Anolis sagrei: one gene and its partners. The protein of the gene in region 1 purifies or fractionates together with the protein of each later gene. This does not show direct contact. Links are inferred from orthologs where the notes say so. Each region holds a gene or a part of one and is shown on either strand. Other genes may lie near its edges.

The links.
Region 2: the proteins of CASK (region 1) and ARHGEF26 purify together in Homo sapiens (affinity purification with mass spectrometry; 3 studies listed by BioGRID and IntAct, with this or other methods). This does not show direct contact. The link is inferred for Anolis sagrei from reciprocal best matches to the Homo sapiens genes CASK and ARHGEF26.
Region 3: the proteins of CASK (region 1) and SNTB2 purify together in Homo sapiens (affinity purification with mass spectrometry; 3 studies listed by BioGRID and IntAct, with this or other methods). This does not show direct contact. The link is inferred for Anolis sagrei from reciprocal best matches to the Homo sapiens genes CASK and SNTB2.

Annotation. Positions count from the first base shown.
Region 1 is NC_090023.1:77,991,295-77,998,591, forward strand, and holds the start of CASK (peripheral plasma membrane protein CASK), read left to right. Parts: upstream 1-4,290; 5' UTR 4,291-4,911; coding exon 4,912-4,970; intron 4,971-5,346; exon of another isoform or gene 5,347-5,393; intron 5,394-7,297. UniProt on the Homo sapiens protein: Multidomain scaffolding Mg(2+)-independent protein kinase that catalyzes the phosphotransfer from ATP to proteins such as NRXN1, and plays a role in synaptic transmembrane protein anchoring and ion channel trafficking.
Region 2 is NC_090023.1:243,005,502-243,012,586, forward strand, and holds the start of ARHGEF26 (rho guanine nucleotide exchange factor 26), read left to right. Parts: upstream 1-3,989; 5' UTR 3,990-4,216; coding exon 4,217-4,221; intron 4,222-7,085. UniProt on the Homo sapiens protein: Activates RhoG GTPase by promoting the exchange of GDP by GTP. Required for the formation of membrane ruffles during macropinocytosis. Required for the formation of cup-like structures during trans-endothelial migration of leukocytes.
Region 3 is NC_090028.1:28,607,825-28,615,505, forward strand, and holds the start of SNTB2 (beta-2-syntrophin), read left to right. Parts: upstream 1-4,603; 5' UTR 4,604-4,646; coding exon 4,647-5,175; intron 5,176-7,681. UniProt on the Homo sapiens protein: Adapter protein that binds to and probably organizes the subcellular localization of a variety of membrane proteins. May link various receptors to the actin cytoskeleton and the dystrophin glycoprotein complex.

The DNA of each region.
Region 1 (7,297 bases):
AGTTCACACTCCGATAATGTGGGATTTTCTGCCTTGATATTCTGGGATATAGGGCTGTGTGGAAGGACTCTAAAAGGCTGTTCCTGGGGGTGGCCTCAGAGCTCCGTGGTGCCTGGAGAAGGATGTGCAGCCAAATAGTGACCCAGTCCCTTAGCCACAGAGCGGCTGTGCAGCTTTCAGGCCACTGTGGCCAAAGGAGAAGTAAGCAACCTGCTTCTCAAATTACCCTTGGAAGCTCTTGCCTGTTCCCCTGAGACTCAGCCCCACGTTTCCTAAATAGCCTCATTCCCAGGGCCTTCAAAACCTCCCCCTTGGTTTTGAAGGCCTTGAGAATGAGGCCGTTTGGGAACTGTGTGAGGCTGAAGAGTTCACCAGCCTTGGCCTGACAGAGACATAGCTTCCCAAATGGCCTCATTCATGCTGACTGCCTTCCTGACTCACTATGCCTTTACTGCTGGGTGCATTATATTCGACTGAAAATCATTGAGGTGTGCATTAAATTCGACGGCACATTATACTCAAGTAAATACAGTATATCTGATATTAGAAATGGAAACAATAAACTACAAAAATATACCAGTTGCAGAGCATTTCAACCTGCTTGGACAATTTGTGCAGTGCATAAAAACTAAAAGAAGCCTGGAAAGAGAAACCGCTGAATTTGTTGTTGTTTATTCGTTCAGTCATTTCCAACTCTTTGTGACCTCATGGACCAGCCCATGCCAGAGCTCCCTGTTGGCTGTCACCACCCCCAGCTCCTTCAAGGTCAATCCAGTCACTTCAAGGATGCCATCCATCCATCTTGCCCTTGGTCAGCCCCTCTTGCTTTTTCCTTCCATTTTTTCCAACATAATTGTCTTCTCTAAGCTTTCCTTTCTTCTCATGATGTGGCCAAAGTACTTCATCTTTGCCTCTACTATCCTTCTCTCCAATGGGCAGAACTGCTGAATTAGGATGTATCAATAAATTCCAAGCCATAAACAATGGTTTGTTGACACACTACATATATTAAAACATTACAGCTTTCATCACAGCCATACATATGCAAAGATACTCTCCTCACACCTGTTTTATGACAAGATTTTACAGGCCCTGCACACATACCAACTCACTAGGTAAAAGCCATTCCTCCGGTCTACATGTGTTTATCTGAGCAAAACCTGACTCCCAACTATGTCCTTTCAACTACTCATCACAATCATTGTTAAACCGGTAGTTGTCACCATTCCAACATGTTTTGCATTGACAGATATTGCTACTACATGTTTTGCATTTCCACTATCTTTTACATTCCTTCCATGTATTTTTGGTATACATGCCTGCCCAAACAGGGTTTATTATTTATTATTTATTTATTTATTCAGAACTTTTATATCCCAGTCTTCTCAACCTCCGCAGAGGAACTCAGGCCGGCTAACAGAAAATGCATACACAAGTAAACTAATAACATCATAACATCATAATACAGTAAAATAGCAACAGAATAAATACATAAAGCCAAATCGACAAGATAAAATCACATTCATCATAGTCCGCCAGTGTGGTCAGTAGTTATTAGGTTATTGTTGACGCCAATCATTCTGAGAATGCTTTGCCCCAGAGCCAGGATTTCACTAGCTTTCTGAAAGTCAGGAGGGAAGGGGCAGATCTAATCTCCATCAGGAGAGAGTTCCACAGCCAAGGGGCCACCACCGAGAAGACCCTGTCTCTCGTCCCCACCAGACACGATTGCAAAGGTGGTGGGACCGAGAGCAGGGCCCCTCCAGAAGATCTTAACAACCTTGATAGTTCGTAGGGGAGAATCCGTTCGGACAGGTAAACTGGGTCGTAGCCGTTTAGGGATTTATAAATCAAAACCAGCACTTTGAATTGCGCTTGGAAACTAATTGGCAGCCAATGGAGCTGACGCAACAGAGGAGTAGTGTACTCCCTGTACCACGCTCCTGTTAGTAATCTGGCTGCCGCTCTTTGGACTAATTGCAGCTTCCGGGCAGTCTTCAGAGGCAACTCCACGTAGAGAGCATTGCAGTAGTATATACGGGATGTTACCAGAGCGTGGACCACTGTGGCCAAGTCAGACTTCCCAAGGTACGGGCCCAGCTGGCGCACAAGTTTTAATTGTGCAAAAGCTCCCCTGACCACCACCGAGACCTGGGGTTCCAGGCTCAGCAATGAGTCCAGGATCACTCCCAAGCTGCAAATCTGCGCCTTCAGGGGGAGTGTAACCACGTCAAGCACAGGCTGGATGCACACTGTCAAGTATAGGCTGGATGCACACTGGATGCACACTGTCATATAATGCAGTTTGGAACTGCATTATATTGTCAGTGTAGATCAGGCAAGGGCAAACTTGGGCCCTCCAGGTGTTTTGGACTTCAACTCCCACCATTCCTCACAGCCTCAGGCCCTTTCCTTTGCCCCCTCAGCCGCTTATAGTCCAAAACACTATTTTATCGAGATTGGTCATTGCTCTCCTCCCAAGAAGCGTCTCCTGATTTCCTGGCTGCAGTCTGCGTCTGCAGTAATCTTTGCACTTAGAAATACAAAGTATGTCACAGCCTCCATGTTTTCTCCCTCTATTTGCCAGTTATCAATCAGTCCGGTTGCCATAATCTTGGTTTTTTTATGTTTAACTGCAACCAAGCCTTTGTACTTTCTTCTTTCACCTGGATTAGATAATATATTGTATATACATATAATATTTATAACACTATAATGTAATACAATATAATACTACTAATAATGCAATATTATAATTATATATTTTATATTACATGTAATATTACTAATAATATTACAATATAATGGTATAGTACAATATAGTAATATGTAACACTGATAGTGCTGTTTTAATAATATAACATATTGTTTGTGTGTGTGTGTGTGTGTGTGTATATATATATATATATATATATATATATATATCTTGTAAGCCGCTCTGAGTCCCCTTCAGGGTGAGAAGGGCGGCATATAAATGCAGTAAGTAAATAAATAAATGAATAATAAGGTTCTTGTGGGTTTTTTCAGGCTATATGGCCATGTTCTAGAGGCATTTCTCCTGACATTTCGCCTGCATCTATGGCAAGCATCCTCTGACCGCATCTTGGCCTATAAGCCCACGAGGACTTTGAGATCATCCGGGGAGGCCCTGCTCTCAATCTCGCCTGCCTCACAGGCACGCCTGGTGGGGACGAGAGATAGGGCCTTCTCGGTGGTGGCTCCTCGGCTGTGGAACACCCTTCCCGTGGACATCAGATTGGCCCCTTCCGATGATATTCCGCAGGAAATTAAAGACGTGGCTGTTCAAGAAGGCGTTCGAACAAGAAATCCAATAATTGGTAATGACGACAGGAATGGAACGACGGAATATAATACTGGATTGTGGTGTAACGATGAGATTATGCGAATGGCTTTTTGTATTATTGATATTGATGTTGTTGATGTTGTTGATGACGATGCTTTTGTTATTGCTGGATTGATTTTAGATTGTGTCTTGTAATTTGCACCCTGTCCTCTCTATGTTGTACACCGCTGTGAGTCGCCCCCGGGCTGAGAACAGCGCTATATAAGCACAGTAAATAAATAATAAATAAATAATAAATAGAACATGGCCATATAGCCCAATAAAAACCACAAGAACCTAGTGATTCCAGCCATGAAAGCCTTTGACAAAATGAATAATAGCCGTTTGACACCGCTCAGTGTCAATCTACTATGTGCAATATTTATTTACTTTATTTCTATACCGCTTTTCTCAGCCCTCAGGCGATTCAAATATGGCTATATCCAGAAAAGAAAAAAGGCTAAAGAGGAGAATGAGTTGTCGAAGGCTTTCATGGCCGGAATCACTGGGTTGCTGTAAGTTTTTCGAGCTGTATGGCCATGTTCCAGAAGCATTCTCTCCTGACGTTTCGCCTGCATCTATGGCAGGCATCCTCAGATTGTGAAGTCTGTCGGACACTAAAGAGGAGCTTCAACGCAATGCCTATGTGCCCTGCCGTTTCTCAGCCCCAGCATTGCCGCTAGTCTCTCCGACCGCAAGGAAAACCTTCTCCTTTTCCCTTTCCCCGTTCAAATGACGTCAACAACCCCCGCGCCTGCGCAGTACAAACTCTTCGCCGTTTCCCCGTGAGGGGAGTTGTGGGCGTGGCTTTGCTCGGAGCAGGGAGGAGGGAGGAGGAGGAAGGAAAAAAAAAAAGCCAGCTCTGCTCCCCTCCCCAACTTAGCCCTGAGCGCGAGAGCGCGCGTTCTAACGTAAAGGGAGGATGCGCGCGCATGCTTGGCTCTGGGCGGTTGCGTGACTGATAAGAAAGGTGTCGGCGGCCGCGGCGGTGACGCGCAGGCGCGCGCGCACGCACCCTGTCTCCCTCTGTGTTTCTCCCTTCATCAAACGGCGTTGGGGTGGCGCGTGGACGGAGCCGCGCCTTTCTCTTCGCCTGGGCGCGCGCTCTCTCTCTCTCTCTCTCGTTTCGAGGAGGGAGGGAGCGAGTGTGTGAGTGACTGAGGGAGGGAGTGAGTGTGTGTGTGTGTGTGTGTGTGGACAAGAAGCGGGGGAAGGGAGCGAATGAGGGGCTCGCTCTGCCTGCCTGCCTGCCGCGGTTTCATCCTCCGTCTCCATCCCCTCCATGGATTAATCCCCGGCGGCCAAAGGTGAGAAGAAGGAAGGCGAAGAAGAAGGAAGAAGACGACGACGCCGGGAATTGTGAGGGACACGCGGGGAAAGGCTGCGGCCCACCGCAAGGAGCGGCCACCGAGGGGGGCTTTTCCTAGCGCGGCCATTGGAGGATTTGGCCGGGATTTTAGCGCGGCGGCGGCGGCGGGGAGCGCGGAGGAGGAGGGGGAAGAGGAGGAGGGGGACCGTGCCCGCGGCCCCTCCCGCCCTGGGGCGGCTCGCCTCCCCCCCGCCGGACCATGGCCGACGACGATGTGCTCTTCGAGGACGTTTACGAGCTCTGCGAGGTGATCGGCAAGTAAGTAGCAGAGGCACCCATGGAGGGGAGATGGAGGAGGCAGCCGCGGAGGGAGGAGCGGCGGTGGGCTGCAAAGCCTCCTCCCCGACCGCGCGGGGGGAGGGGGGCAAGGAAGGAAGGATCCTCGGGAACCGCTCGGGGCTCTTCCCACCTGGGGAAAGGGAGCCCTCTCCTCTCTCCCCCCTCCTCCGGCCACCATGATTAAACGGGGCTCCTGCAGCAAAGCGGGGCTTCTCCTCCTCTCTCTCTCTCTCTCTCCTACAAGGTAGACAAGGCAGGGACGGGGTGTGTTTCTCCTCCTCGGCTCCCCTCCCCCTCGCTCTCCTTCCCTCCCTCCCTCCCTCCTACCAATGCCAGGTGCCTTCCTTGGGCGCTGCTGCATCATCAAACCGGCTCGTTAGCGGCGATATAAAGGACACTCAGGTAATACTCGGGTGCTTTTTTTCCCATCCCCACCGTGGATACATACACACTGTAGAGGTGACACACTTTGGGCCTTTCCACACAGCCATGTAACCCAGAACATCAAGGCAGAAAATCCCACAATATCTGCTTTGAACTAGGGGCCCTTCCACACAACCCTATATCCCAGAATATCTGTTTTGAACTGGGTTATCTGAGTACACACTCAGATAATGTGGGATTTTCTGCTTTGGTATTCTGGGATATAGGGCCATGTGGAAGGACCCTGGGTTATCTTGGGCCCTTTCCACACAACTGAATAAAATCCCACATCTCTCTGAGATATATGGCAGTGTGGACACAGGGACCTTCAACACAGCCCTATATCCAAGAATATCAAGGCAGAAAATCTCACAATATCTGCTTTGAACTGGGTTATCTGAGTCCACACTCAGATATTGTGGGATTTTTTTACCTTGATATTCTGGAATACAGGGCTTTGTGGAAGGGGCCTCAGATAACCCAGTTAAAGTATTCTGGGATTTTCTGCCTTGATATTCTGGATTATATGGCTATGTGGAAGGGCCCTGAGCCCACACTGCCATTTATTCCAGTTCAAAGCAGATAATGTGGGATTTTATTCAGCTATGTGGAAGCTCCCTTTGACACCACTTTAACTGTCATGGCAGAACGCTATGGAGTTGTGGGAGTTGTAGTTTGGCGAGTGACTAGAGAAGGCTAAAGACCTTGTAAGGTGACAACTCCCATAATTCCATAGCATCGAGCCATGGCTGTTAAAGTGTTGTCAAACTGCATCAGTTACACTATGCAGATGCACCCCCAGTTGGGATAAAGCTGGAAGGCCTTTCAAAGGCAACAACCACTTTTGCAGAAAACTAAAGTTGCAAGGGTGGTTGGCTGAACTGCCACTCAGGCTACCTGGAGTGTCCAGTTTGACAGGCGGTTTGAAAATGCCAGGCCAAGTGGTTTGTCTTGGAGAGGGAAACCAAATAAGCTTGGTAATTGAAGGAGATGAAAGCAGAGGTTTTTGTTTTTGTTTTTTGTCTTCCCCAATAACTGTATCATAGTGGGAGATCTGGGACTCTTTGTGCTAGAATAAAAATTGTAGTAGACATCTACTGTATCACTTTAGTAGCTGAATAACTTTACCTTGTATCCATCTGAAGATGTTTTGGCAGTTAAGTGAGTTTGTTGCCATTATGATTTTGTAAGGGCAAATAAATGTTAAGGAAAACATTTTTGGTTGTTTCTGCTATGATTGTTACATTCAGAATGAAAAATGACTTGTTACTGCAAGAGGGTGTATGAGAGAAATATTTTGTAGCAAGATTGTTGTAATATTTCTTCCAAAGATGTAATTTCATGTAGCTGAAGTTGGATACATGTGATCTTGTTAACATCCTTTGCCAAACTCCTGCTTTTAAAAATGCTTTATGTTTTTTGTGTTCCAGGTTCTTCCCAGTTTCAATCATTTTTAAAATTCTGGCTATTAGAGCAATGTTTGTATACATGGCAACATTTAGTCAGAATCATATCTACATCAGTAAGAAATTCCTATTGGTTTGTTTGGAAATATAATTATGTTGTTGGTCCCTACTATTGTTGGTAATACAGGGTCAATATCCTTTATATGAAATGCGTACAACTAGAAGTGTTTTGAATTTTTTATATTTTCAGATTTTGGAATATTTACAATTGTATATATTGTATGTACATGAGATATCCTGGAGATGAAATTCAAGTCTACACACAGAATTCATTTATATTTCATATATACCATGTTCACATAGCCTGAAGGTAACTTCAAACAATATTTTTAATAATGCTGTGCATGAAACTAAGTTTGTGTGCATAAAACCACCAGAACACAAAGATGTCACTTTTTCAGCCTTCCATGTGGACAA
Region 2 (7,085 bases), about 170 Mb from region 1:
ACTGCAAATGCTTACTTTGCGTAATGGGTTGCACCACCCCTGTTCAGGATGCACTGTTGTCAAGTCCTGAGGCCTGTGAAGGAGGGAAGAGCATGAACTATTAGTCCTGGCCCCCACAAAGTAAAGATCCCCTTTTTAAGCTTCCCCTTTCATATTTTATTCTCTTTCCAGAGCCTTGGTTCCAAGTACGAGGCAGCAGCAGGTCCCTTCCCTGCTAAATTACATCTGCCAAAAACTCAGATTAGGAGGTGTACAGGGTTCAAACTACACTGCATGGTGCCCTGGGAGTGACACCAAATGACATAACATTTGTGTGTGATATCTCAGTAGAAATTTATTTGTTTATATAAAAATATGCTGGCAGTTAAATTTAAGCACAAAAAAACAGGTTTCATAAGTCCACCTTACCTGTACTGCATACTATATAAGTATATGTGAATACTTCATGCTAATTAACTTTTTGAACTCTTTAATCTAATGGGCACGTGCTCCAGACAGACTTGTTATTATCATCCTGTGACAACAAAACTTCAAATCATATGGTTTCATCTGCAAGCACCACAGGCATATTGTTGTTTTTGTTGCTGCTGTTTATTTTTTTTAACATATAATAATAATTACTTTATTCTGATATCCCACCACCAAACATTAAAATGAAGCACAATACAAAATACAATAAAATAAAACACATGCGCATATAAAAACATTAACTCACTGATTTTGCTAAATGTCCTATTATTTTAGCTACAATATTCTGGTTTGGTACAGTACCCTAAAGACACAAGATCCCATGCAAACTCGGAAGCTAAGTAGAGCCAGCCTGGTTAGTACTTGAATGGGAGATACCCAATGAAGGCCAGTTGCTGTATTTCAGACCACCTCTGAGTATCTGTTGACTATGACAACCTCATGAAATTCATGTGATCACCATAACTCAACAGATGACTTGCGACCTAATCACACTAGAGAATGAATCCACTTTAAATCCGGATATTGCCTCCTGAGAATTCTGGGGTTTGTAGTTTAGGGGGGAGCCTTTAACAGCCTCACTAAACTACAAACTTCAGAATTCTGCAGGAGGCAGAAACCGGATTTAAAGTGGATTCCTCCTCTAATCATGCAGTGGTTCTCAGCCTGGGGTCCCCAGATGTTTTTGGCCTACAATTCCTAGAAATCCCAGCCATTTTACCAGCTGTTAGGATTTCTGGGAGTTGAAGGCCAAAAACATCTGGGGCCCCCAGGTTGAGAACCACTAAGTGATGAAGTATTTGAAGGAACACATGAAATGATTCAGGAGATGGTTCAGGAGGATGACAACTTGCATTACTACACTGTGTGGCACCATTCCTGGTGGCGTCACAGTTAAGAACCATAAAACAAGGGTAGGGGGGAAATCAATGTGTTTCTCAATTTTCCTAATATTTTAGGTACAATGTTATAGGTACAAAAATATTTTAGGTACAATGTTAGGTACAAAGTACTCTAAAGGCACTACATTCTATCTAATCTTCAAAACTAAGTTGGTACTTGGACGGGAGGCCACCAACAAATACCAGGTGTTGTTGGTATAATTCAGAGGAAAAAAAGTGGCAAAGCCACCGCTTGAATATCCCTTGCTAAAGAAAATCCCATTAAATCAATGGGATTGCCATGACTTGAAGCCAGCAGAGGTCTATGTTGCTGACACCATGCGTAACAACGTAGAGTGGCACCAACCCTGTCAAGACCGATAAACCCAGGGAAGGGGGCCATCCTGTGTGTTCTATACAGGAAGTCCCCAAGTTACAAACATCCATCTTAAAAACAACACAGGGCTCTTCCACAGCCATATAACCCAGAATATAAAGGCAGACAATCCACAATATCTGCTTTGAACTGGATTATTTAAGTCCACACTGCCATATAATCCAGTTCAATGTGAATTTTATACAGCTGTGTGGAAGGGGCCACATTGGTGAGATACCAGGAAGTGAGAGAAATTTACTCCTCAGAAAGGGAAATTCACTCTTGAAATTTCCTGATATTTTAGGTACAATGTTATAATATGGTATAGAAATGCCAAAGTAACCAGATCCCATCTGATCTTCAAAACTAAGTTAGTACTTGGATGAGAGACCTCCAAAAAATACCAGGCACTGTGGGTATATTTCAGAGGGGAAAAAGTGGCAAGGCCACCTCTTGAAGATCCCTTGCCTAAGGAAAAGACTCCTGAGAGAGTTATCATGGAGAAAAGGTGCCCCAGTTGAAGCTTTCTTGCCAATCCTTGCTTCCACACATCATTTTTTTCAATATCCAATTCTTATAGGGGCAGAAAGTGAGGTGAAATCTTCTGAACAGGGGTACAGATCGCAAGAAAAACACCACAGGGGTGTTAATCCTTCCCTGTGCAATCCAAAGCTAGTTACACTTTAAAAATGTACCTGTTCTGGCTTACATACAAATCCAACTTAAGAACCTATATTGGGGACTGCCTGTACTTTTTGGCATCTATACCAGGCATGAGCCCCTGGTGGCACAATGGGTTAAACCGCTGAACTGCTGAATAATAATAATAATAACAACAACAACAACAATAAAACTTTATTTATACCTGCCACCATCCCCCCAAGGGGACTTGGGACGGTTTACATGAGGCCAAGCCCAACAACACATCAATAAAACAACAAAGCAGTAAGCAAATAAAACAATTCAATTAATATAACTCGAGTCACCTTTGGGCTGAGAGGGGCAGTATACAAATATAGTAAATAAATAAATAAATAAATAGGCAATAACACACAAAAATTTAAAACCTATGGCTGGGCCAGATTGAATAGATTAAAATTTTAAAATATACACTGGGTGTGAACAGAGGTTGGATGTATCTAAGCAGGAGGGTTTTAAAGGATAGTGTAGGGAGAGCAATCCAACGAGGAGTTAAAGTGCTTCTGAGGACTTGTTGATTGAAAGGTTACAGGTTCGAATCTGAGGAGTTGAATTTATGGACTTGGATAGACTTTCTTACCTACTGAAGGAACAGAGTAAGGAAAAGCAAATAAACTGGAACCAACTAAGAGAATACCTAGGAGAAAAAATCAAACTCAATATATAACATTTGGTACTATGAGTTAAATTGAACATAGAACGAAGGAGACCATAAGAAGACTTATACAATTTAATGATCGTACCTCTGTGGACTAAACTGGAAGTCATTAATATATACCCTTTTTGCTTTCTTTTTTCTCTCTCTCCTTAATTTTCTTTTTTACACTGGTGCTTTGATCCTCTCGATTTTGACTCCCCCAACCAAACCCCTTCCCCTTCCTCCATTACCCTATCTCTCTTCCAATTTCCTACTTTCCTGTCACCCTGACTGTTCCCCCTCTTTCATTGTTAAAGGAAAAACTCACAATAAATATTATGCAAAAAAAAAAAAAAAGAATCTGTGGAGTGGGCTGAGCTCCCACTGTTAGCCCCAGCTTCTGCCAACCTAGCAGTTTGAAACACGCAAATGTGAGTAGATCAGTGGGAAGGTAAGGGTGCTCCATGCAGTCGTGCAGGCCACATGACCTTGGAGGCGTCTATGGACAACGCCGGCTCTTCGGCATAGAAATGGAGATGAGCACCAAAACCCAGAGTTAACTTTATGTCAGGGGGAAACTCTTTTACCTTTAGCAGACCAGGCATGGGCCAACTTCGGCCCTCCCTCCAGGTGTTTTGGACTTCCAACTCCAACAATTCCTAACAGCCTGTAGGCTGTTAGGAATTGTGGGAGTTGGAAGTCCAAAACACCTGGAGGGAGGGCCGAAGTTGGCCCATGCCTGGTCTGCTAAAGCATGCCATTGCCTCACCAAACTACGACCCTGGAGCAGTGGAAGTGTTGTCAAGCTGCCTAAATTCCATAACCTGGGCATTGAAAGGGTCCAGGCCTGGCCCCTTCTCTTCGTCCGATGGGCAGGACTTCGAGGGAGGGGCTTGGCCTGCCTGGCTGGGAAGGCGGGGCTGGGGCACCAGGAGGGAGGCTGGCCCAGAGGAAGCGGGAGCGGCCGGCCGGTGCGTCCCGGAGCAGAAGCCGCCTTGGGAAAGACGGAAGGCCACTGCGACGCCCTCCTCGCCCGAAAGACCAAAGCTTGGCGAGGAGGGCGAGTGGGAGCTTTGGGCAAAGGGGAGGGGGTTCCTTCCGACTCCTTCCGACGCCTCCCGATTCCTCCCGGAGTGAAGCGGGCGCGCGCTTGAAATGAGGTGAGTTCGAGCTCTCTCTGCCAAAGACGGGAGAGAAGAAAGGTTGCCCGGGACAAAGTTCCCCTCTCTCTGGATGCTGCCCTCTCTTGCCCTCTCTGTTGGAAAGTTTTGTTACAAGTAGCAACAGTTCATCAAAGGGAGAAGGCGATGCAACGCAAGCCCTTTCTTTCCCACCCCAAACACCTTCTCCGCGGGAGGAGCCCTCAAGGTCTGAGGAGGGAGGCCGTGGTGTGGAAATGCTCAATAGGCAGGCGCAGGGAAAAGGCTTTGGATGCCGTTGGGAAAGAGCATGGGAATTGAGTCGTTGTAGAAGCATTCTCTCCAATTTTCCTAGTTTCCAACAGACCTAATATCCTCTGAGGATGGCTGCCATAGATGTAGGCAAAACGTCAGGAGACAATGCTTCTAGAACATGGCCATACAACCCGAAAACCTACAACAACCCAGTGACTCCTGCCATGAAGACCTTCGATAATACATTGAGCATGGGAATTGCTATGCAGCCAAGAGGCTATGTTGTTGTTACGTGATCCCTCGTAGCTCGAGGTTGGTGGTCCTCCAAGTGTAGTATCTTGGCGGTGGGTTCGTAGGTGGCTGTGGAGTCCTATTCTTGATGCGCATGTTCTTCTGCAGTAAGGACATCGGTTTCCACATGGAAGGTGGTCCTGGTCAGGGTTGGCTTGACGTCCCTTCCTCATGGCACGTTTCTCTCTTTCGCCCTCCATTCGTCCCTCTTTGAATTCTGCAGGACTGCTGGTCACAGCTGACCTCCAGTTAGAATGCTCAAGGGCCAGGGCTTCCCAGTTCTCAGTGTCTATGCCACAGTTTTTAAGGTTGGTTTTAAGCCCATCTTTAAATCTCCTTTAAAGGGGTGGCTAACATGAGGCCAAGCCCCAAAAATAATACAGCAAAGTTAGACACAAAACAACAGAAAAATTACATCACAACAAAATACATGAAATAACATAATAAAATCAAACACAAAGGCCGGGCCAAATGCACGAGATAAAATGTTAAAATCCTGGGTGAGATAGGAATAAAAAAGTGTATTAAAAAGTGTATTTGTGAGGGAAGAGCCCAAGAAGGAGGAGCAGTGGGGTTTGGCCTTTATTAAGGACAGGGGAAAGTGCATCATGAGGACAACTGTAGATGGAAACAAACAAAATGGGTTGTATGGTCACTCTCCGAAGGCACATTGGAAGAGCCAAGTTTTTAGATCTTTCTTAAAGGCTGCTAGGGTGGGGACTTGCCTAATTTCACAAGGCAGCGAGTTCTAGATCTGGGGGGGGGGGGGGGAGAGGGCACTGCGGAGATGGCTCTCTCCCTCGTTCCCACAAGTCGTGCATGTGATAGAGGAAGGGGTGAAAGGAGGGCCTCTCCAGAAGATCGAAGAGATCCTTTTCCTTCTTGAGTTCAGAGTTGCTTTGGGAGATGGTGATCAGGCATTCGGACAATGCGGCCAGTCCAGCGGAGTTGATGATGGAGAAGCATCACTTCAGTGCTGGTGGTCTTTGTTTCTTCCAGCATGCTGACATTTGTCCACCTGTCTTCCCAAGAGATTTGCAGGATTTTTCGGAGGCAGCGCTGATGGAAACATTCCAGGAGTTGCATATGATGTCTGTAGACAGTCCACATTTTGCAGGCATATAGCAGGGTTGGGAGGACAATGGCTTCATAAACAAGCACCTTGGTCGCCCATATGGATGTCCTGGTCCTCAAACACACTCTCCTTCATTCAGAAAAATGCTGCACTTGCAGAGCTCAGGTGGTGTTGTATTTCAGTGTCAATGTTGACTTTGGTGGAGAGGTGGCTGCCAAGATAGTGGAAATGGTAAACATTTTCTAATGTTACACCATTAAGCTGTATTTTTGGCATTGGAGAGGGATCGGCTGGTGACTGCTGGAAGAGCACTTTGGTTTTCTTGATGTTCAACAAGAGAGCCAAGAGGAGGATGGGCGCAGAAGGTAGCATTTTCCCCCTTTTAAAAAAATTGAGGTTGCCTGTTTCTTCTCCAAGGCTTCAGATCATAAACCCAGAGTGGAAAAGGACTCTGGTGTAAAATAAGCAATCACAATCCAATGTATTGTCAAAGGCTTTCATGGCCAGAATCACTGGGTTGCTGTGAGTTTTCCTGGCTTCATGACCATGTTCCAGAAGCATTCTCACTTGACGTTTTGCCCGCAACTATGGCAGGCATCCAGTGAGGTCTGGTGAAAAGGAAAGGGCATGAAGCTGTTAGGAATTGTGGGAGTTGAAGTCTGAAACACCTGGAGGGCCAAAGGTTTCCCATGCCTGGCATAGAGAATTGCTCATTGGATCCTCAGCAAGATCATCCAATATACCTTACAATACAAAGTCTATACAGCAGAGTTTTGAATTACGTAAAAGACTACCAAGATTTATTACAGTGTGTGCTCATGCACTGCAATAAAGCAAGGGTGTTTATATATCTGTGTAATGTCCATAATGGGAAAAAGAACTCTTGTCTGCCTGAGTCAAGTTTGAATGTTGCAATTGGCCACCTTGATTAGCATTGAATAGCCTCGTAGCTTCAAAAACTGGCTGCTCCCTGCCTGGGCAAATCCTTTTTTGGGAGGCGTAAGCTGACCCTGATTGATTCTTGCCTGGAATTTCCCTGCTTTTTGAGTGTTGCTGTCTATTTACTGTCCTGATTTTAGAGGTTTTTTTAAATACTGGTAGCCATATTTTGTTCATTTTCATGATTTCTTCCTTCCTGTTGAAATTGTCTACATGCTTGTGGATTTCAGTGGCTTACTTGTGTAATATGACATGGTGGTTATTAGACTGGTCCAGCATTTCTGTGTTCTCAAATAATATACTGTGTCCAGGTTGGTTCGTCAAG
Region 3 (7,681 bases), on another chromosome or scaffold:
GTGTCTGCTGTAGACTCATCTTGTTGTGTTTCAAATAATAATAATAATAATAATAATAATAATAATAATGGGATTTTTATTATTTTAATCGCCACTTTGAGGGCCCTTCCAGACAGGCCCTATATCTGAGGATCTGATCCCAGGTTTTCTGTTTATCCCAGATTCTCTGGCAGTTTGGACACATATAATCCAATTTAAAGCAGAAAACTTGGGATCAGATCCTAGGATATAGGGCCTTTCTGGAAGGGCACTGAGTCACCTTCGCGGGAAATAAAGCAAGGTATAAATGCATATAATAAAAATAGCAATAGGTTTGAGTGATTTTACTTTTAAGTGTTACTATTTGCATTATGTGTTTTTGAAATTTCATTTTTTTTTTAAAAAAAGTGACATGTTCTGTGTTTTAAGGAGGAGGAGGAGGAGGAGGACGTTGTCCAGGGGAACGCCAGGATGTTTTGATGTTTAACCATCCTTGTGGGAGGCTTGGAGAGCTGGAGCTGACAGAGAGAGCTCAACCCACTCTCCCAGGGATTCGAACCTCTGACCTGTCAGTCAGCACTCCTGCTGGCACAAGGGTTTAACCCACTGCGCCGCCAGGGGCCCAGTAATAATAATAATAATACTCCTGACCTCACAAGTATGGATCGTCGATGTTGTAATCCCAGGCGACAGCAGGATTGAAGAGAAACAACTGGAAAAGCTGACACAAAACGAGGATTTAAAGATCAAACTGCAAAGACTGGCACAAGCCAGTCAAGGTGGTCCCACTGGTGATTGGCACACTGGGTGCAGTGCCTAAAGACCTTGGCCTGCACTTAAGCACAATTGGAGCTCACAAAATCATTATCTGCCATCTGCAAAAGGCCACCTTACTGGGATTAGCACACATTGTTCGCTGATAATATCACACAGTCCTAGACATTTGGATGATCCAATAAAACAGCCAGAAGAGCGATCTTGTTTGCTGTGTACTAATCTTGTGTTTCAATTAATTAATTAAGTAAGTAAGTAAGTAATGGTGGAACATTACCCTCATTAAATGATGTGGGTAATAAATACAATAAACGCAGCACCATAAAACACATACAATGCACATATGAAAACACATTACCATAAAATACATATATTAAAATATGTGGAACAAAGATTGAAATACAGTAGTAATAGGATTTGAAATTGACCAGGTATATAATTGTATTTATATGCTACTTTTCCTCTTTTAGAAGTGGCTCCAAGGCCCAGGCGGGATCCCTTCCTGCTCAAGAGCATTAAATGGTGTCTCTTCCCTCCTTTAAGGAGATGTCCTCAGGAGGCCGGACGATTACATAGCCTTCAGAATTAAAAATAGGCCGTTTCCTCCTTGTCCCGAGGATCAGCAGCAAAGCTCTGGCTGCTGGACCTCACGCTGCGAGATCAAAGATCAAATCAGGGGTCAAATCCTGCCTTCTCTGTGCCCTGAGAGGCACTTGAGGACATTCAATGGGACAAAAAGCAATCCCACAATAATAATAATAATAATAATAATAATAATAATAATAATAAATGACGAAATCATGATCTGCAAAAGGCCACCTTACTTGGATCTGCACGCCTCATTCGTAAATGCATCACACATTCCTAGACACATGGGAAGTGTTCGACTTGTGATTTTGTGACATGAAATCCAGCAAATAGATCTAATTTGCTGTTACATACTGTGTCAGTAAAATAATAATAATAATAATTTTGCAAAGACTTGGACAAGCCAGTAAATGTGATCTCAGTGGTGATTGGCACACTGGGTGCAGTGCCTAAAGACCTTGGCCTACACTTAAAAACAATCAGTGCTGACAAAATTACCATCTGTCAGCTGCAAAAGGCTACCCTACTTGGATCTGCATGCATTATTCGCTGATACATCACACAGTCCTAGACACTTGGGAAGGGTCCGACGTGTGATCCAATACAACAGCCAGCAGAGTGATCTTGTTGTGTTTCTAATAATAATAATGTTTACCTGTTAGGTAATGGTAAATGTTTTCCCTGACATTAAGTCCAGTTGTGTCCGACTCTGGGGAGTTGGTGCTCATCCCAATTTCTAAGCTGAAGAGCTGGTGTTGTCCGTAGACACTTCTAAAGTCATGTGGCCTGCATGACTGCATGGAGCACTGTTCCCTTCCTGCCGGAGCAGTACCTATTGATCTACTCACATTTGCATGTTTTCAAACTGCTAGGTTAGCAGAAGCTGGGGTTAACAGCGGGAGCTCACGCCGCTCCCCAGATTCGAACCTGTGACCTTTTGATCAGCAAGTTCAGCAGCTCGGTGCTTTAACCCACTGTGGCACCGGGGGTTTACCTGTTACCTGCTTGATATTGGCAACACCTAGTTCATATAAGCCAGTGGTTCTCAACCTGGGGGTCGGGACCCCTGAGGGGGTCACCAGGGGCTGTGAGAGGGGTCGCCAAAGCCCGTCAGGAAACACAGTATTTTCTGTTGGTCATGGGGGTTCTGTATAAGAAGTTTGGCCCAATTCTATACTTTGTAGGGTTCAGAATGCTCTTTAATTGAAGGTGAACTATAAATCCCACAACTGCAACTCCAAAATGCCAAGGTATATTTCCCCAAACTCCACCAGTGTTCACATTTGGGCATATTGAGTATTCATGTAGAGTTTGGTCCAGATCCACCATTGTTTGAGTCCACAGTGCTGTCTGGAGGTGAACTACAACTCCAGACTCAAGGTCAATGCCCACCAAACCCTTCCAATGTTTTCTGTTGGCCATGGGAGTTTTGTGTGCCAACAGGGGCGGCTCAACCATTACGCAAAGTAAGCATTTGCAGTATAGTTGATTTTGCCCAGGGGTGCTCTAGGGGGAAAATAGTCCTTGACATATGTGAGTTGTAGTTACTGGGATGTATAGTTCACCTACAATCAAAGAGCATTCTGAATTCCACCAATGATGGAATTGAACCAAATATGGCACACAGAACTCCCACGACAAACAGAAAATATATATCAGTGATTGGTTGGGGGGGGGGGGCAAATTACTGTTTGCTTACCATCCAAAATTACCTAGGGCGGCCTCTGTGTGCCAAGTTTGGTTCAATTCAATTATTGTTGGAGTTCAGATTGTAGGTGAACTATAAATCCCAACAACTCGAACGCCCAAATAACAAAATCAATCAATCCCCCCTCCTCCCAATCCCACCACTATTCAAATTTGGGCATGTCGGATATTTGTGCCAAATTGGATATAGTGAAAAAAACATCCTGCTTATCAGATAATTGCATTACCATTCATAACAGGAGCAAAATTACAGTTATGAAGTAGCAAAATAATGTTATGGTTGGGGGTCACCACAACATGAGGAACTGTATTAAGGGGTCGCAGCATTAGGAAGGTGGAGAAACACTGATATAAACAGATTAAACGTATTGTCGAAGGCTTTCATGGCTGGAATCACTAGGTTCTTGTGGGTTTTTTCGGGCTATTGGGCCATGTTCTAGAGGCATTTCTCCTGACGTTTCGCCTGCATCTATGGCAAGCATCCTCAGAGGTAGTGAGGTCTGTTGGAAATAGGACAATGGGTTTATATATCTGTGAAATGGCTGGGGTGGGGCAAGGAGCTCTTCCCTGCTGGAGCTAGGTGTGAATGTTTCAACTGACTACCTTCATTAGCATTTGAAGGCCTGGCTGAGCCTGGGAAAATCTTTTGTTGAGAGGTGTTAAGATGTGCCCGCGCCCCTTTACCTAGCCAGGCCCCGCCTCTTTCCTCTTGCTCCTCCCCATTCTGAATTAGCCCCTCCCATCTATTGTCCTCCTCTAGCATTACAGCCAATGAGGCTCCTTCCTCTTTTCCCTCCCTTGTCTTCTCCAGGAGACCACGCCCCTTTCTTATCGCCCCGCCTCCCAAAGGGTGAGGCTCCTCCCTCTTTCTCACCCCGCCTCCTTTCCCTCCCAGCCAATGGGTTTCCTCCTTAGTTGCCCCGCCCCTTTTCCTTTTTCGGTTGCCTCCCCTTCCAACTCAGGTCCCGCCTCTCCCTTCCTTAGCAGCCAATCGGACTCTGTGGCTGCGGCTCCTCCCCTTTTCTGTTCCCTCTCCTCCAACGCGGGCTTTGGGCTAGGCCCCGCCTCTCCCTTCAGTGGCACCCAATAGAGGCTGTGGCTCAAGCCCCGCCCCTTTAAGGTTCCCTCGTTTGACTAGGCCCCGCCTCTCCTTACTTGGCACCAATGGGACTTTGTAGCGGAGGCCCCGCCCCTTTTCTTTCCCCTCCATTCCAACGCGGGGGTTTAACTATGCCCCGTCTCTCTCTTCCTTGTCGCCCAATGGGACGGTGTGGATGAGGCCCCGCCCCTTTTCTCAGCCTTAGTTCCCTCCTCCTCCCGCCTCTCCCTCACTTGGGACTTTGTAGTGGAGGCCCCGCCCCTTTTCGTTCCCCTCCCCTCCAACTTTTAACTATGCCCCGCCTCTCTTTTCCTTGACATCCAATGGGACGCTTCGGATAAGGCCCCTCCCCTTTTCTCAGCCTGAGAGGCCACGCCTCTTTTGCCTCTCAGCCAATGGGCCATCTCCGAGGAGACCCCTCCCCTTTCTCCTGAGAGACGCCGGCTCAGTCTGAGTCGAGCTACGGCGGGAGAAGGACGCGCGACGCTCGGCTCCCCCGATGGCGGTGTGGACGCGGGCGTGCAAGGCCGGCCTGGTGGAGGTGCTGCTCCGCGAGCGCTGCTGGGTGCGGGCGCTGGCCGAGCTGAGCGGCGAGGCCTTGATCCTCAGCTCGGAGCCGGAGCCGCCGCTGAACGGCCTCCCGAACGGCTCCGAGTGGGGCAGCCCCGGAGTTGGGCGGCGCAGCGAGGCCGGGTCCAGCTCTCCGGAGCTGCGAGGGGCCGCCTCGGCTTCTCCGCCCTCCTCGCCGGGCTCCCCGCCGCTCCTGCCTTCTCCGCCGCCGGGGGTGCGCCGCGTGCGGGTGGTCAAGGCCGAGGCCGGCGGGCTGGGCATCAGCATCAAGGGCGGGCGCGAGAACCGCATGCCCGTGCTCATCTCGCGCATCTTCCCCGGGCTGGCAGCCGAGCGGAGCGGAGCTCTGCGCCTCGGGGACGCCATCCTCTCCGTCAACGGCGTCGACCTCCGGGAGGCCACCCACGACCAGGCCGTGCAGGCCCTCAAGCGCGCCGGGAGGGAGGTCCTCCTCGAAGGTGAGCCCCGAGAGCCGGCCTGGGACGACCTGGGCCTTCCCTTCGCGGGTTTGGGACTTCAGCTCCCACCATTCCTAACCAAACCCTCCCGACAGATGGCCAGCCAACCAGAGATGTCACTGAGATAGAGAGAGAGAGATGCTTTTCTCATAGAGGCACCCCAAAGGCCATCCAGTCCAGCCCACTTTTTCTGCCAGGCATCATCCAAACCCTCCCGACAGATGACCATCCAGCCAAAGATGTCGTTGTTATCCCCCAAGGAGCATCCAGTCCAAGCCCATTCTCCTATATTGGAAGACACCATACAAACCCTCCCAACAGATGGCCATCCAGCCAAAGATGTCATTGATATCCCCCAAGGGTCATCTAGTCCAAGCCCATTCTACTCTATAGGAAGACACCATACAAACCCTCCCGACAGATGGCCATTCAGCCAAAGATGTCGTTGATATCCCCCAAGGGGCATCCAGTCCAAACCCATTCATCTGTATAGGAAGACACTATACAAACCCTCCTGACAGATGGCCATCCAGCCAAAGATGTCATTGATATCCCCCAAGGGGCATCCAGTCCAAGCCCATTCTTCTATATAGGAAGACAACATACAAACCCTCCTGACAGATGGCCATCCAGCCAAAGATGTCATTGATATCCCCCAGGGATCATCCAGTCCAAGCCCATTCTACTCTATAGGAAGACACCATACAAACCCTCCCGACAGATGGCCATCCAGCCAAAGATGTCGTTGATATCCCCCAAGGGGCATCCAGTCCAAGCCCATTCTACTCTATAGAAAGACACCATGAAACCCCTCCGACAGATGGCCATCCAGTCAAGGATGTCATTGATATCCCCTAAGGATCATCCAGTCCAAGCCCATTCTACTCTATAGGAAGACACCATACAAACCCTCCCGACAGATGGCCATCCAGCCAAAGATGTCATTGATATCGCTCAAGGGTCATCCAGTCCAAGCCATTCATCTGTATAGGAAGACACCATACAAACCCTCCTGACAGATGGCCACTCAGCCAAAGATGTCATTGATATCCCCCAAGGGTCATCCAGTCCAAACCCATTCTCCTATATAGGAAGACAACATACAAACCCTCCCAACAGATGGCCATCTAGCCAAAGATGTCACTGAGTTGGATAGGGAGAGAGAGATGCTTATATCATACAGGCACCCCAAAGGCCATCCAGTCCAGCCCACTTTTTTTCTGCCAGGCATCATTCAAACCCCCCCCCCCCCCGACATATGGCCATCCACCCACAGATGTCATTGATGCATATGTATGTATGTGCGTGTACCCCCCAGTGGTCATCAAGGCCAAGCCCATTCTGCTCTATAGGAAGACACCGTCAAATCCCTCCCGACAGATGGCTATCCAGCCAAAGATGTCATTGATATCCCCCAAGGGTCATCCGTTCCAAGCCCGTTCTGCTATATAGGTAGAAACCATCCAAACCCTCTCAACAGATGGCCATCCAGCCACAGATGTAATTGAGATATGTGTGTGTGTATATATATATACACACATACACACACACCCCAGGGGTCATCAAGTCCAAACCCATACTGCTCTATAGGAAGATACTATCCAAATCCTCTCAGCAGATGGCCATCCAGCCACAGATGTAATTGAGATATGTATATATATATATATATATATATATATGTATGTATGTATACCCCCCCCCCAAGGGTCATCCAGTCCAAGCCCATTCCGCTGTATAGGAAGACACCATACAAACCCTCCCAACAGATGGCCATCAAGCCAAAGATGTCATTGATATCCCCCAAGGGTCATCCAGTCCAAGCCCATTCTCCTTTATTGGAAGACAACATACAAACTCTCCCGACAGGTGGCCATCCTGCCAAAGATGTGATACACACATATCACAATAACATCTTTGGCTGGATGGCCATCTGTTGGGAGTGTTTGTATGGTGTCTTCCTATACAGGAAAATTGGCTTGGACTGGATGACCCTTGGGGGATATCAATGACATCTGTGGCTGGTATGGCCATTTGTTGGAAGGGTTTGGATGATGCCTGGCAGAAAAAAAGTGGGCTGGACTGGATGGCCTTTGGGGTGCCTTTCCAACTCCAGCCAAAGATGTTATTGTGATATGTGTGTATCCCCCAAGAGTCATCAAGACTAAAGCCCATTCTGCTCTATAGGAAGACACCATCCAAACCCTCCCGATAGATGGCCATCCAGACAAAAATCCCTCTCTCTATATATATGTGTGTGTGTGTGTGTGTGTGTGTCCCAAGGGTCATCAAGTCCAAGCCCATTCTGTTATATAGGTAGACATTATCCAAACCCTCTCGAGAGATGGCCATCCAGCCACAGATGTAATTGATATATATCCCCAGGGGTCATCCAGTCCTGCTGTATAGGAAGACACCATCCAAACCCTCTTGACAGATGGCCACCCAGACAAAGATGTAATTGTGAGATATATCCCCAAGGGTCATCCAGTCCAAGCCCTCCCGATAG